Linked DNA regions of Macaca fascicularis. The protein of the gene in region 2 interacts with the protein of the main gene of each other region in a pairwise test. Links are inferred from orthologs where the notes say so. Each region holds a gene or a part of one and is shown on either strand. Other genes may lie near its edges.

What was found. The genes of interacting proteins can lie anywhere in the genome.
Region 1: the proteins of ERLIN1 (region 2) and AGR3 interact in binary tests that used the Homo sapiens proteins (3 or more experiments, as listed by UniProt). The two-hybrid records come from large-scale screens. The link is inferred for Macaca fascicularis from reciprocal best matches to the Homo sapiens genes ERLIN1 and AGR3.

What each region holds. Positions count from the first base shown.
Region 1 is NC_088377.1:113,343,522-113,349,064, reverse strand, and holds the end of AGR3 (anterior gradient protein 3), read right to left. Parts: intron 4,973-5,543; coding exon 4,920-4,972; intron 4,380-4,919; coding exon 4,303-4,379; intron 3,746-4,302; coding exon 3,682-3,745; intron 2,903-3,681; coding exon 2,819-2,902; intron 1,924-2,818; coding exon 1,874-1,923; 3' UTR 1,710-1,873; downstream 1-1,709. UniProt on the Homo sapiens protein: Required for calcium-mediated regulation of ciliary beat frequency and mucociliary clearance in the airway. Might be involved in the regulation of intracellular calcium in tracheal epithelial cells.
Region 2 is NC_088383.1:109,095,456-109,101,492, forward strand, and holds the end of ERLIN1 (erlin-1), read right to left. Parts: intron 3,748-6,037; coding exon 3,526-3,747; 3' UTR 1,493-3,525; downstream 1-1,492. UniProt on the Homo sapiens protein: Component of the ERLIN1/ERLIN2 complex which mediates the endoplasmic reticulum-associated degradation (ERAD) of inositol 1,4,5-trisphosphate receptors (IP3Rs).

The sequences.
Region 1 (5,543 bases), on a different chromosome or scaffold from region 2:
ATCATATAACCTATTTATATTCAAATAGATCAATTTACTACAAACCTGCTTAAAATGAACAGAATAGTGATCAAATAACACCCAAAGAAAATCATTTTTTTTCTCAGACTCATCAAATTTTGAAATTACAGGGATCTATAACATAATATCATAGACATTGCATATCTATCTCATATAAAAGTGTAGTTCTATATCATAAAGCAATTCAAATTTTGCTAAATGCAATAAAATCCTATGAGTTAGGAAAATTTTTGCCCATCTAAAATATTTTCTTTCTTTTTATCTTTTTTTTTTTTTTTGAGATGGAGTTTTACTCTTGTTGCCCAGGTTGGAGTGCAATGGAACGATCTTGGCTCACTAAAACCTCCACTTCCCAGGTTCAAGCGATTCTCCTGCCTCAGCCTCCTGAGTAGCTGGGATTACAGGCGCTCACCACCATGCCAGGCTAATTTTTGTATTTTTAGTAGAGATGGGTTTCACCATGTTGACCAGGCTGGTCTCAAACTCCTGATCTCAGGTGATCCTCCCATCTCAGCCTCCCAAAATTCTGGGATTACAGGTGTGAGGCACCATGCCCAGCCTCTAAAATATTTTCTACCTTCTGATAATTACTCCCAGCTGATTTTGGGATTTCTATTAGCAGAATTTTTTTCTTCTTGTTGTTATTTAAATAAATAGAAGACATGGTATTAACTCTCTGGAGGCTTCCTGTGGAGAACTGAGTTGATGATTGGATATTTGATCATTTCAGAATAAATATAATCCTTCCCTACTAGTTAATTGGAGAATTCTTCAATTTTCCTGAAGTAGTTACACTTTCTTAAAATTATTAGAAGTTTTAAAGTATCTACCCACTAATTAAGAAAAACATGTAGCTGGATGCAGTGGCTCAGGCCTGTAACCCCAACACTTTGGGAGGCTGAGGCAGGTGGATCACCTGAGGTCAGGAGTTTCAGACCAGCCTGGCAACATGGTGAAACCCTGTCTCTATTAGAAATACAAAAATTAGCCAGGTGTGGTGGTACACACCTGTAATCCCAGCTACTTGGGAGGTTGAGGCAGGAGAATTACTTGATGGGTGGCGGCGGGGGCACAGAGGTTGCAGTGAGCCAAGACTGCACCACTGCACTCGAGCCTGGGCAACAGAGCAAAACTTTGTCTCAAATAAATAAATAAATGTAGTTGAATTTTAAAAATATAATTAGGTTTTAAATGTCTGTCTTAGTGTAAAGTAAGAAAAGAAGTAAGTGGTTAATGCTGCAATATGTAGCTAAAATTTAAAATCACAAGTGGGCAGAGATTTATCTACTTTTTTTGGTAACATGGAGATCATTTATGACCTGGGTTGGCAGGTATGGTACAGTGGAGGAGACAGAATTAAAATTAGATTAGTTGGTGGTTGGACCGGGAACAGTGGCTCAGGCCTATAATCTCAGCACTCTGGCAGGCCAAGGTTGGAGGATTGCTTGAGCCCAGTTCGAGACCAGCCTGGGCAACATAGTGAGACTGCATCTCTACCAAAAAAAAAAAAAAAAATTAGAAAATTAAAAATAAAGTTAGATTAGTTGATGGAGTGAAGGAGAGGTGAAGAAATAGAGACAAACCTTATAGGAACCTCTTATTTAGGTCCTCCTGTCTCCACTATTACTCTTGGCAGGCTTTCTTTGCTACTGATGAGGCAGAAATAAAACTATATTGTCAGTCTCAGATTTAAAAAACATTCATTTTAATAGGACTATTGCAAACACATTAAAAAACTAAACAGTAATATTACAAAATCTATATACTTGCACATTTAATATTTGTCAATGTGCCAGAGGTTTTCTTCATTCAATTTGACTTCTTCGAAGTGAAGGCATTTTTCCATCATCCCTTATAACTCTGATTGAATAAGTCTTAATGCTTTCTTCATGTTTTCTATCACTGAAATAAGAGTTAATATATATTATGCTATTAACAAATGAAAGTATAAATGCTATGATCTATTAACTCTAGAACCTGAAATTGACCCAATAGCTTTGAAAACTTGGGAATTCATCTGTGACATTAAGGAATATGCTAAAAGTGTACATGTAAATTTAGGGATTAGACCATTGAGAGCTGGTTGGTCAACTTTATGTTGAATAATTTCATTAGAGGGGTTTTGAGGAATACCTCTTTTATTTTTTAATGGATCATTTTGTATTAGTATTGCCAGATCTTACAGGCACAGTTGTCTTACTAAATGTGGTTGACAATGAATGTTGTAAAAAATAGATTTGGCCAGGCATGGTAGGTCATGCTTCTAATCCCAGCATTTTGGGAGGCTGAGGTGGGAGGATCACTTAAGGCCAGGAGTTTGAGAACAGCCTGGGAAATAGACTAAGACCCTGTCTCTACGAAAAAAAAAAAAAAAAAAAAAAGAGAGGATTAAAGTCCTAAGTAAGACTGTACCTCCTTGCTTATAGGCATTAAAGAAAGATGAAATGATTTTACTATCATTTGAGGAAATCACATGAGATCTTTGATACTAGGAGAATGGACTCTCTCAAGTTTCTGTCGTTTTAATGTGTACTATATTCTTTTTAGTGATCTCAGAATTTAGTAATCATAAAAGCCCTTAGGCATCCCTGTTAAAATAGATTCTGAGCTACCCCCAAAATTCTGATTTTGGTGGGAGCCAGAAGTTGGCGTTTTAAACACCACCACTAGCCTCAGTGATTCTGGTGTGTAGATAGCACTGTTTGTGGAGAAGCACTGATGTAGGGCATCATTGTCCCTTAACTAACAGTCAGGGGTCAGCTATGACCACTGTTTCAGATCGTTTGTGAATACTTACATAGGGGTAAATCCTGAGGTTCATATGTGTACAATCTGTTAGAGTATCTTCCAGCTATATCAGCTCTGACTGTTAAAGAAGGGTCTGTCAAGAAAAAAACCGAGTCAGTAAAGTATAATTTAGCATGTTCTTTTTTTTCACTCTTGTGAAAATTTTATTATTATTATTTTATATTTGGGGGTTATGTGTGCAAATTTGCTACATAGATATATTGTGTGATGGTGAAGTTTGGGCTTCAACTGAACCCAACACCCAAATATTGAACATAGTACCCAACAGTTAGTTTTTCACCCTTTGGCCCCATCCCTCCTTCCCTTGTGTTGGAGTTCCTGTTGTCTATTGTTCCCCTCTTTATGTCCATGTGTAACCAGTATTTAGCTCCTATTTATACGTGTGAACATGCACTATTTGGTTTTCTGTTTCTGTGTTAATTTGCTTAGGATAATGGCCTCTGGCTACATCCATAAAATGTTCTTAAAATCATTTTTATTTCTTAATCTAAAACAAATGTCAAGCAAATTTATAAGCAGAATTAGTTTTCATACATGTCGGTTCATGATGAATTAACCTGAATTCTCCTTTTAGTGTGTCATAGATCTCTGTCAATCTAGTCTGGGGCAGTGTATTGAAAGTACATTGGGATATAGATTTAATAGCATACGTGCTTTGAAAAAATATTTAAAATTTTCAAATTGCAGAGATAGTGGATTTTGGTTGTAGAACTGACAAGAGCTGATATTGATTGGATTAGAAATGACTTCTCTTTAAAAAGAATAGTACTTGAACCAGCATTTAAAAATAAAAGCAAGAATGCTGACTTCTACTAATTTTGTAGATCCGATGAAATGAGATCACATACATACCTACAAACATGATTCTAGGCACATATTGCCCATCAGGTGATAAATTCTTATCAGTGGTTTCATGCTAGCAGAAGAAAAAAAAACAATGTTATTGGATTCATTTGTTTTTGATAGTTTCAAGATGATTTTGTGTGAACTAGACTGTCAGTAAATTCTATTTTGGCCTTTTATAATTCCACATAACTTCCTCTATTAACCAACATTTAGCTCTTTGTGCTTTAAAAATAGAAAAAAAGGAGGCCGGGTGCGGTGGCTCATGCCTGTAATCCCAGCATTTTGGGAGACTGAGGTGAGTGGATCACCTGAGGTCAGGAGTTTGAGACCAGCCTAACCAACAAGGTGAAACCCCATCTTTCCTAAAAATACAAAAATTAGCTGGGCATGGTGGCAGGTGCCTGTAGTCCCAGCTACTCGGGAGGCTGAGACAGGAGAATAACTTGAACCAGGGAGGCTGAAGTTGCTGTGAACCCAGATCGCACCACTGCACTCCAGCCTGGGCGACAGAGCGAGACTCCATCTAAAAAAAAAAAAAAAAAAAAAAAAAAAGAAAAAAAAAGAAAAAAGGGATTCAAATTTTCCATGAAATTATAATATTAAGAAAACATCATAAAGTTTATGTACCATAAGGTTTAGCATGATGAACTTATTCTGAGCCATTTCTTGTATTTCTTCATTTTGGGAAAATACTCGTTTTAGTGCTATAGGGGAAAACAAAATTGTCAGTTAGTTTTAAGGATCAAGAGAACTTTAATGTAGCATAGCAAAATAAAGCTAATATTTAGCATTTGTTTGCATATATAACTCAAGTGTAAATATTAATAGTTCATTGGCCTATTGCCACTTTGCAATGAGGGACAGTCTGTTCAAGGAGACATCAAAGGATAATCACAGTGAAGACACTAGTTTTATAATTTTATATAACTCATTGACTCATTGGTTAAGACAACAACTTTTTTCTTTCAGTGTTTCTCCACCCTCTCAGCTCACCCCTCTCTTTTCATGGGAAGAAGAGGAATATCTAATTTCTAAGGGGATATAATAGAAACATTCAGTAGATTGGTAACAATCATTGTGGTCTTTAAGCACTTTAATAAAATGATGGTACTCTGGCAGTTGTCTAATTTTTTTTTTTAATGAGATTTGCTGAGTGCCTTCTTAGCTATTATTACCAGGTCACTTTTCCTATTTTATATTGGAAATATTATGTATTATAATAAGAGCTCAGGGACTAAAATTACCTTGGGAGTATTGACAATCTTCCAGGTGATGAATAACCATTAATGGCTTCTTACTAAACAAAGAAAGTATGGAATTAAGTCAAATGATTAACTTTGAGTCAAAACATACAGTGGAGTTAGATTTGAAGTTTTATTAGTTTCAATAAGACTTACAGTAGTAACTCAGATTTACAAATCATAGCACTGTAGTCAATAGCAGTGTTACTCTATTTGTGGCCCCAGAACTGACAGTATCAGTATCACTAGGTAGCTTATTAGGAACTTAAATTCAAAGGCTCCATTCCAAAATTAGCAAAGGCTCCATTCCAAAATTAGCTGGGCGTGGTGGCGTGAGCCTATAGTCCCAGCTGCTCTGGAGGCTGAGATATGAGAATCACTTGAACCCAGGAGGTGAGGTTGCAGTGAGCCAAGATAGCACCACTGCACTTCAGCCTGGGCGACATAGCGAGACTCTGTCTCAAACAAACAAAAAACCAAAGGCTTCATCCCAGACCCACTCAATCAGAATCTTTGGGGTGAGGGGTGGTTTCAGGCATCTGTAGTTTAACAAGCTTATTAGGTAATTCCTATGTACTCTATAGTGCAGTTAGAGAAAATCAATCGTGTATCCAGAGATAAAGGGAT
Region 2 (6,037 bases):
TATATTGACTCCTGTAGACAAGGTGAACTAATGCATCCCAGCAATTACCATGTGCAAATCTTTACGCTAGATGCATCAACATATCCTCCTGAACCCACTGAAGAGTTGCCCTGCAAACATGAGTAAACAGGTTCAGAGATGTTAGGTAACTTCCCATGGTTACACTTAAAGTCCTGACATGGACACTGTAGGCTCACTTCTAAGTTCTTTTTTCCATGACTCACTTGCCTGATTTACCTGCATGTCATATTCAACTTTTTGTTCTTTCATGCAACAAAGCCATCTCATATGGGCCAGACGCCATCTTAGGCATTAGCAACAGAAACAATCCCAAGGGAACAGCACAGCCACAGCCCCCGCCCTCACAGAGATTAGCATTTGTGAAAACAGACATCAAGCACATAATGAGAGACATGACATTATGTGCTTGATGTCTGTTTTCACAAATGCTAATCTCTGTGAGGGCGTAACTATGTGCGCATAACATGTGGGGGGCGGGGGGGGGGGGGCATCCAGGATGCTAACCCAGGCCAAGCAGTTCAAAGTGAACTGAAGCTTTTACATCTGAAGAAGTGATGCAGACTCAGGAGTTGGCCAAGGAAAGTCAGCATTACGAGGGAAGGAAAGTGAACCAGGCAGATGGAACAATGTATGAGATGGGACAGAGAGAAGGTGCATTCAGGGACCTTAGAGAAGGGTGGCTGGAGAGGACAGCAGGGGTCAGATCACGAACTTCGTGTGCACACATTTGAGACTTAATCCCAAAGCAATTAGAAGCCAGTTTCCAATTCACAAAATTCTTTTGCCACAGAAGAGGCAGAAATCACTTCATTTTAATACCTACCAATAGCCTATAGGATGGTCAGTTCGAATTATTTTCAGGTCCACAGCAACTGACATAGGATACTATGGGGTTGATCCCATAAGAACAGGAGGAAAGAGCTGCTTTCCCCAAAACTCCCATTACCACTCCCTGCTGGCCCAAGATCACCAGGAAATTGACCCCAGGAGGGAATATAGAACGTTTGGGAAGAGCAGGTCCAACTCTGGCTCTTGCGCCGCTAACATCTTAATAGTGAAGTTGGTTATATTGTGCCATTACACTGCCAGTTATAATTTACACAAATTGTTCTTCCTCTGGCTTGGTCTGTCTCCTCCCCTGCTCGGTGTAGAAGTATTTTTGCTCTCAGGGACGGATCCCAGTAGCCTGATGTTCCATCCTCCCTCCTTGCCCCTCTGTTGCAGGCCCTGTCCCACAAAGAATTAGAAGAACATCCCTTGCTAAATTCCAGGAGTCAGCAAAGAGCGGACACCTTGTTTTAAACATTCTGACAGCAGGTAGGCAGTATTCTGGGAAGAGTATAATAAAAGCCTCTACAGTTAAGTTAAACCAGCAAATAAACTGGCTCCCTAGTTCAAATGTGCAAGACAGCCTTAGGAGCATGTTAAGATGACAGAAAAATGAAGACATGGGGAAAAAAACACAAATCACTGATAGTAAAATAATTTTATTTAGTTTCTTATTTTAAAAAAGGTAGCATTTCAACATATAAATTTAGACTCAAGATTACAGGGTATATTTGCCAAAAGGAACACCCTGAAAGATGGCCAGCCTCAGAGCTGAGGGCACAGGGAGGCACACTCCTCACATGTGGAGTTTAAGCAGAAGTGCTTTAAGACTTCACAGCGGCATTTCCCTGTTCCTCAGCCCTGCCTCCAGGGCCATCACTTTGGGGCAACAGCTTTGCTCATGTAACTATAAAACATCTCTAGGAATGAAAGCACAGAGGTCAATGATCCAGATTTTCCACGACAATCATCTGAGGCAACAATTTGACAGGTAAAGAATTTATTTTTATAATTCAAAAGTTCTTTTAAGGAGAACTAAAGAACACAAAATTCATTCATAAAGAGAATTTATAGAATTAAATGAGCAAAAATGAAAAATTATTTTCTCCATATTACAAATGCCTCTATAGGATAAGGCCCAGGGGAAAGACCCACTCAAATCTGGGCTTTCCTTTCCCAAATAAAGTGTTTGGCACAACCAACAAGCTGTCATGAGACTGACAGGCCTGACAGCTGAAAGGTTTCTAGAAGTGGTCCCATGACTTTTCTGTGGAGCTTCAATATAGTGTACACAAGAGGTGTCTTAAGCTGCACAAACTCAGGCCAAACTACGCAGCACACTGCTCCAGAGAAGTTAAAACTGAAGGAAAAAAAAAAGGTCCACATGAAGTAGGTCTCCTATTGCCACAGGTTAACTCTGTTGTTTCTCATGGAAAATTAAATTCACTGGCTGCCCAGGACGTCAGTGGAATCCTGATCTCCTGGGGGAGGTGAGAGCTGGAGAAACAACTTGGATTTAAGCATCTCTGGGCCAGGTGGGAAGGAGACAATGACCAAGGATGCTTTCCAGGTGACTTTTTGTTCCACACTATGTGGGCTCCAGACAAACAATCTTAAGGAGCATCAGTGTGCTTGTGACCATCGCAGCCCTCGGACTTGGGCCTTTAGACGGAGGTGATGGGGCAAATGAATATACCCCAGATCCAGTTTTAAAAATAAAAACTTCCTGCAATTATGATACACAACTGTGCAGCAAATCACTAGGAATTGTATGCTGCTCCTATTTGTGGTTAAAGCCCTGTCCCACTCGTGGCCAGTCACAGCCGAAAGGTAACACACAAGGAGGTGGCTGTAGCTAAAAACCAGGCACCTTAGTCAAGCATGGCCTGCGGCAGTGATGCTGACAGTCATCACCCAATGGAGGGAATGCAGGGCCCCAGAGCTTTGGTTCAGAGCAAAGGTTTCATCTCACCCCAAACTTCAAATCAAGCCCTCTGTATCTCTGAGCTTATGAATACAAGAAACTAGTGATTAGGAATCTCTATGAGGAATCTCTGGTTGGGTAGCAAAGCTCAGGTCCCTGCAAGCCACCACCATCCTGTAGGAAAACAGAAAGGTGCAAATCGTATCAAGTAAAAGGTTGCTCAAGTGGAAGATCGTTTCCTGGGGAACTTCAGTGGCCTGGATCTTAATCACATGGATGAAGGCTGGAACTGGATCCCAAAGAAAGGGCCTAGGTCCCAAGTGCAATGAGTCTTCTTGAACTTACCATATCCTTCTCAGTCATCTCTTGAATGGCTGAGCACACAATTCCCTGGGGGACCAATGTAAACATTATTCAACTGATCTCCACTTAGGAAAACACAGCTTGTTATATATTTAGTGTTTAACATTCCAGTGCAGGCAGTATCTTAGCATCAGACTTTCCTCACTCATGAGTAGCAGTTTAGAAAGGAACACATATAGGTTACTTGATAAGACTGTGGCTGAAAAGACCATTTGTGTGTCAGACAGCTGGCTCCATCCTCCAATCAGTGGACTACCCAGGACTATCGCAGGAGAGGCAGAACAGATGAAGTGTAAGTTCCGTGTAAATCTGAAGAGTCCGTATAACCATTGTTCCCACTTAACCCCTTGGGCCACATCTTGATATGGAGAACATTTCCACCTCTTGCATCAACCTGTGCTCTCTTTGTTTTGGATGAGGTTCTCTCCAGAGGGTTCAAGAGCCTCCTTAGAGGGGAGTGAGCTTTCTCTTCCAGTCCTAATATCTGAATATTTCAAAGCACATGAGGAGTCCACGAACATGTTAGGGATGTTGCTGCCAAAATAGATCTTACTGTTGGAAGCAATGGCCTGGTACTTTTTGAGCTCCAGATATTCCGGGGTCAATTTGTGCTGTGTGGGAGCAAACAAGAGCAAAGGCATCAGGATACTCTGGTGCAACAGTCTTCTCTCTCTCTACATACATTTCTCCTGTTGCTCTTCTGAGTATCACGAGTCAAGCCTGAATAATTGCCAATGACCCTCTCTCACTTTGGAGAGTGGCTATCACATTAACAGTTGCGTTCCTGACTTAAAATTCCTTCAATAAGCTCTTGACTTAATGCAAGAGAAGCTGTTCACTTTTTAATAAAAGGATGGGGGAGGTTAGAAAACAATTTGTGATAACTAATGATAATAACTAATAATAATAATAATAACTATGGTGACTTTCATTTCATCTAGTTGAATTCAACCTGGAATTGGTCTGGAGTTTCTGTTGATTGTCTTTCTAAAAAACTTATTTTTATTTTTGTAGAGATGGGGTCTATGTTGCCAGGCTGGTCTCAAACTCCTGGCCTCAAGCAATCCTCCTACCTTGGCCTCCCAAAGTGTCGGAATTAAAGATGGGAGCCGCTGCACCCAGCCTCTTTTTTTTTGGAGATGAGATCTCACTCTGTTGCCCAGGCTGGAATGCAGTGGTTCAATTATAGCTCACTGCTGCAGCCTCCAACTTCTGGGCTCAAGCGATACTCTCATCTTAGCCTCCAGGGAGGCTACAGGAATAAGCCATCATGCCTGGTTCTCTGTTGATTCTCTTGAGAGAGATACACAGATCAATGGATGAGAGCAGAACTTCAAAGGAAGGGCTGGTGCTGCTTTTCTTGAACAAATTCTAGAACTAGAATAAAATCTCAAGAGGTCATCTGATCTGGTCTTTTGCCTTTCCCCAGAAGCTGGATGTTTAAGCTGTCTGTGACAGACAGATATTTGTCCACCACCAGATCTCCCTCTGTCACAGAGTTTTGTTTTGTTTACATCAGTGCCAAGATGTATCTATCTAACCAGAATCTCCCTGGGTTTGATTAAAACTCACTGACCACCAGACCTCCCTCTGTCACAGTGTTTTGTCTAAATCAGGATGCCAAGATTATCTAACCAGAATCTATCTGGGTTTGATTAAAACTCGTCGACCACCAGATCTCCCTCGGTCACAGAGTTGTTTTTTGTTGTTGTTGTTGTTTTTTTGCCTAAATCAGGATGCCAAGATGTCTGTAACCAGAATCTATCTGGGTTTGATCAAAATCCATTTCCACTGTTCCCTGGAACATATGCCTTTCAAAGCCCCTCAGATCCTGCTCTGTGATCCTCTCCTTGAGTCCTGGCCTGTCCCCCAGGCAAAAGTCCATGTTGTCCTTCACAGTCCTACAGCATTTATTTTCTACACTTTGACATCTTTCACTCCCTGGATCTCTATCTTCCCCAGGTGATTCGTATCCTCTGTCAAAACACTCAAATCAAATCTGGTCATAGTGTACAACCACATTTCTTCCTCAAGCCTTTTTAATATAGGTTAGTATATGAGTCACATTTTTCAAAATGGCATAAAACTACTGCCCCTTTCTGAATAAGGTAGACCTCAATGGCAAGATCTTGAAACTTGTGCCGGATGAGCTTCTCCCATTAGATTTGGACTCCTAGCTTCCTCAACTGGAGCTTCCTGTCATGCCTTTCTCTTGGTCAAATTCCATTCTGTGTCTGTAGAATTGTCTTTCAATGTTACGTTCATTTTAAAATGTATATTGGTTTTCAAAGTACTGACAACTCTCATTCTATCATATCTTATCATTTCTTCTAAATACAGATTATGTTGTTCCTTTCTAAATTGAAAGCCCTGTCTATATCTTAAAACTTGACTCTAATCCTTCAAACTGCATCATCCACTTTAGTAATCTCTTTCTCAACCCTTTATCTCTTACAAATCTGCTCCACAATAACCTTCTCAGAATACTAGCAGAGTTCTAGCTGCCTCTTATATAGCCCCTGCTCACTAGCCCTTACCCGCTAGCCAGCTTACCCCAGTCCTTACAGCAAATTATCACCTACAGATCACCCAACCTCCCTTCTCAAGTTATCCCACATGAAATTCCTCATGACTGGAATAGTTTTTTAAATCCAATAAACAAGAAGTACTCAATGAGGGGCATATGGAAATACGTGCATGTGTGTGTGGCAGTTAAAACAACTGGTGACCATTACTGACATTTAGTAGACAAGGGCTAGGGATACAAAATATCCTACAATGCATGAGATGGTCTTCAATGATGAAAAAGTATCTCAACCCCAAATGCCAGGAATGCCTTTGACGAGAAACACTGCTCTAATCAAGCTAAGTATCTACCCAAAAAAACTACCTTATTTGGAA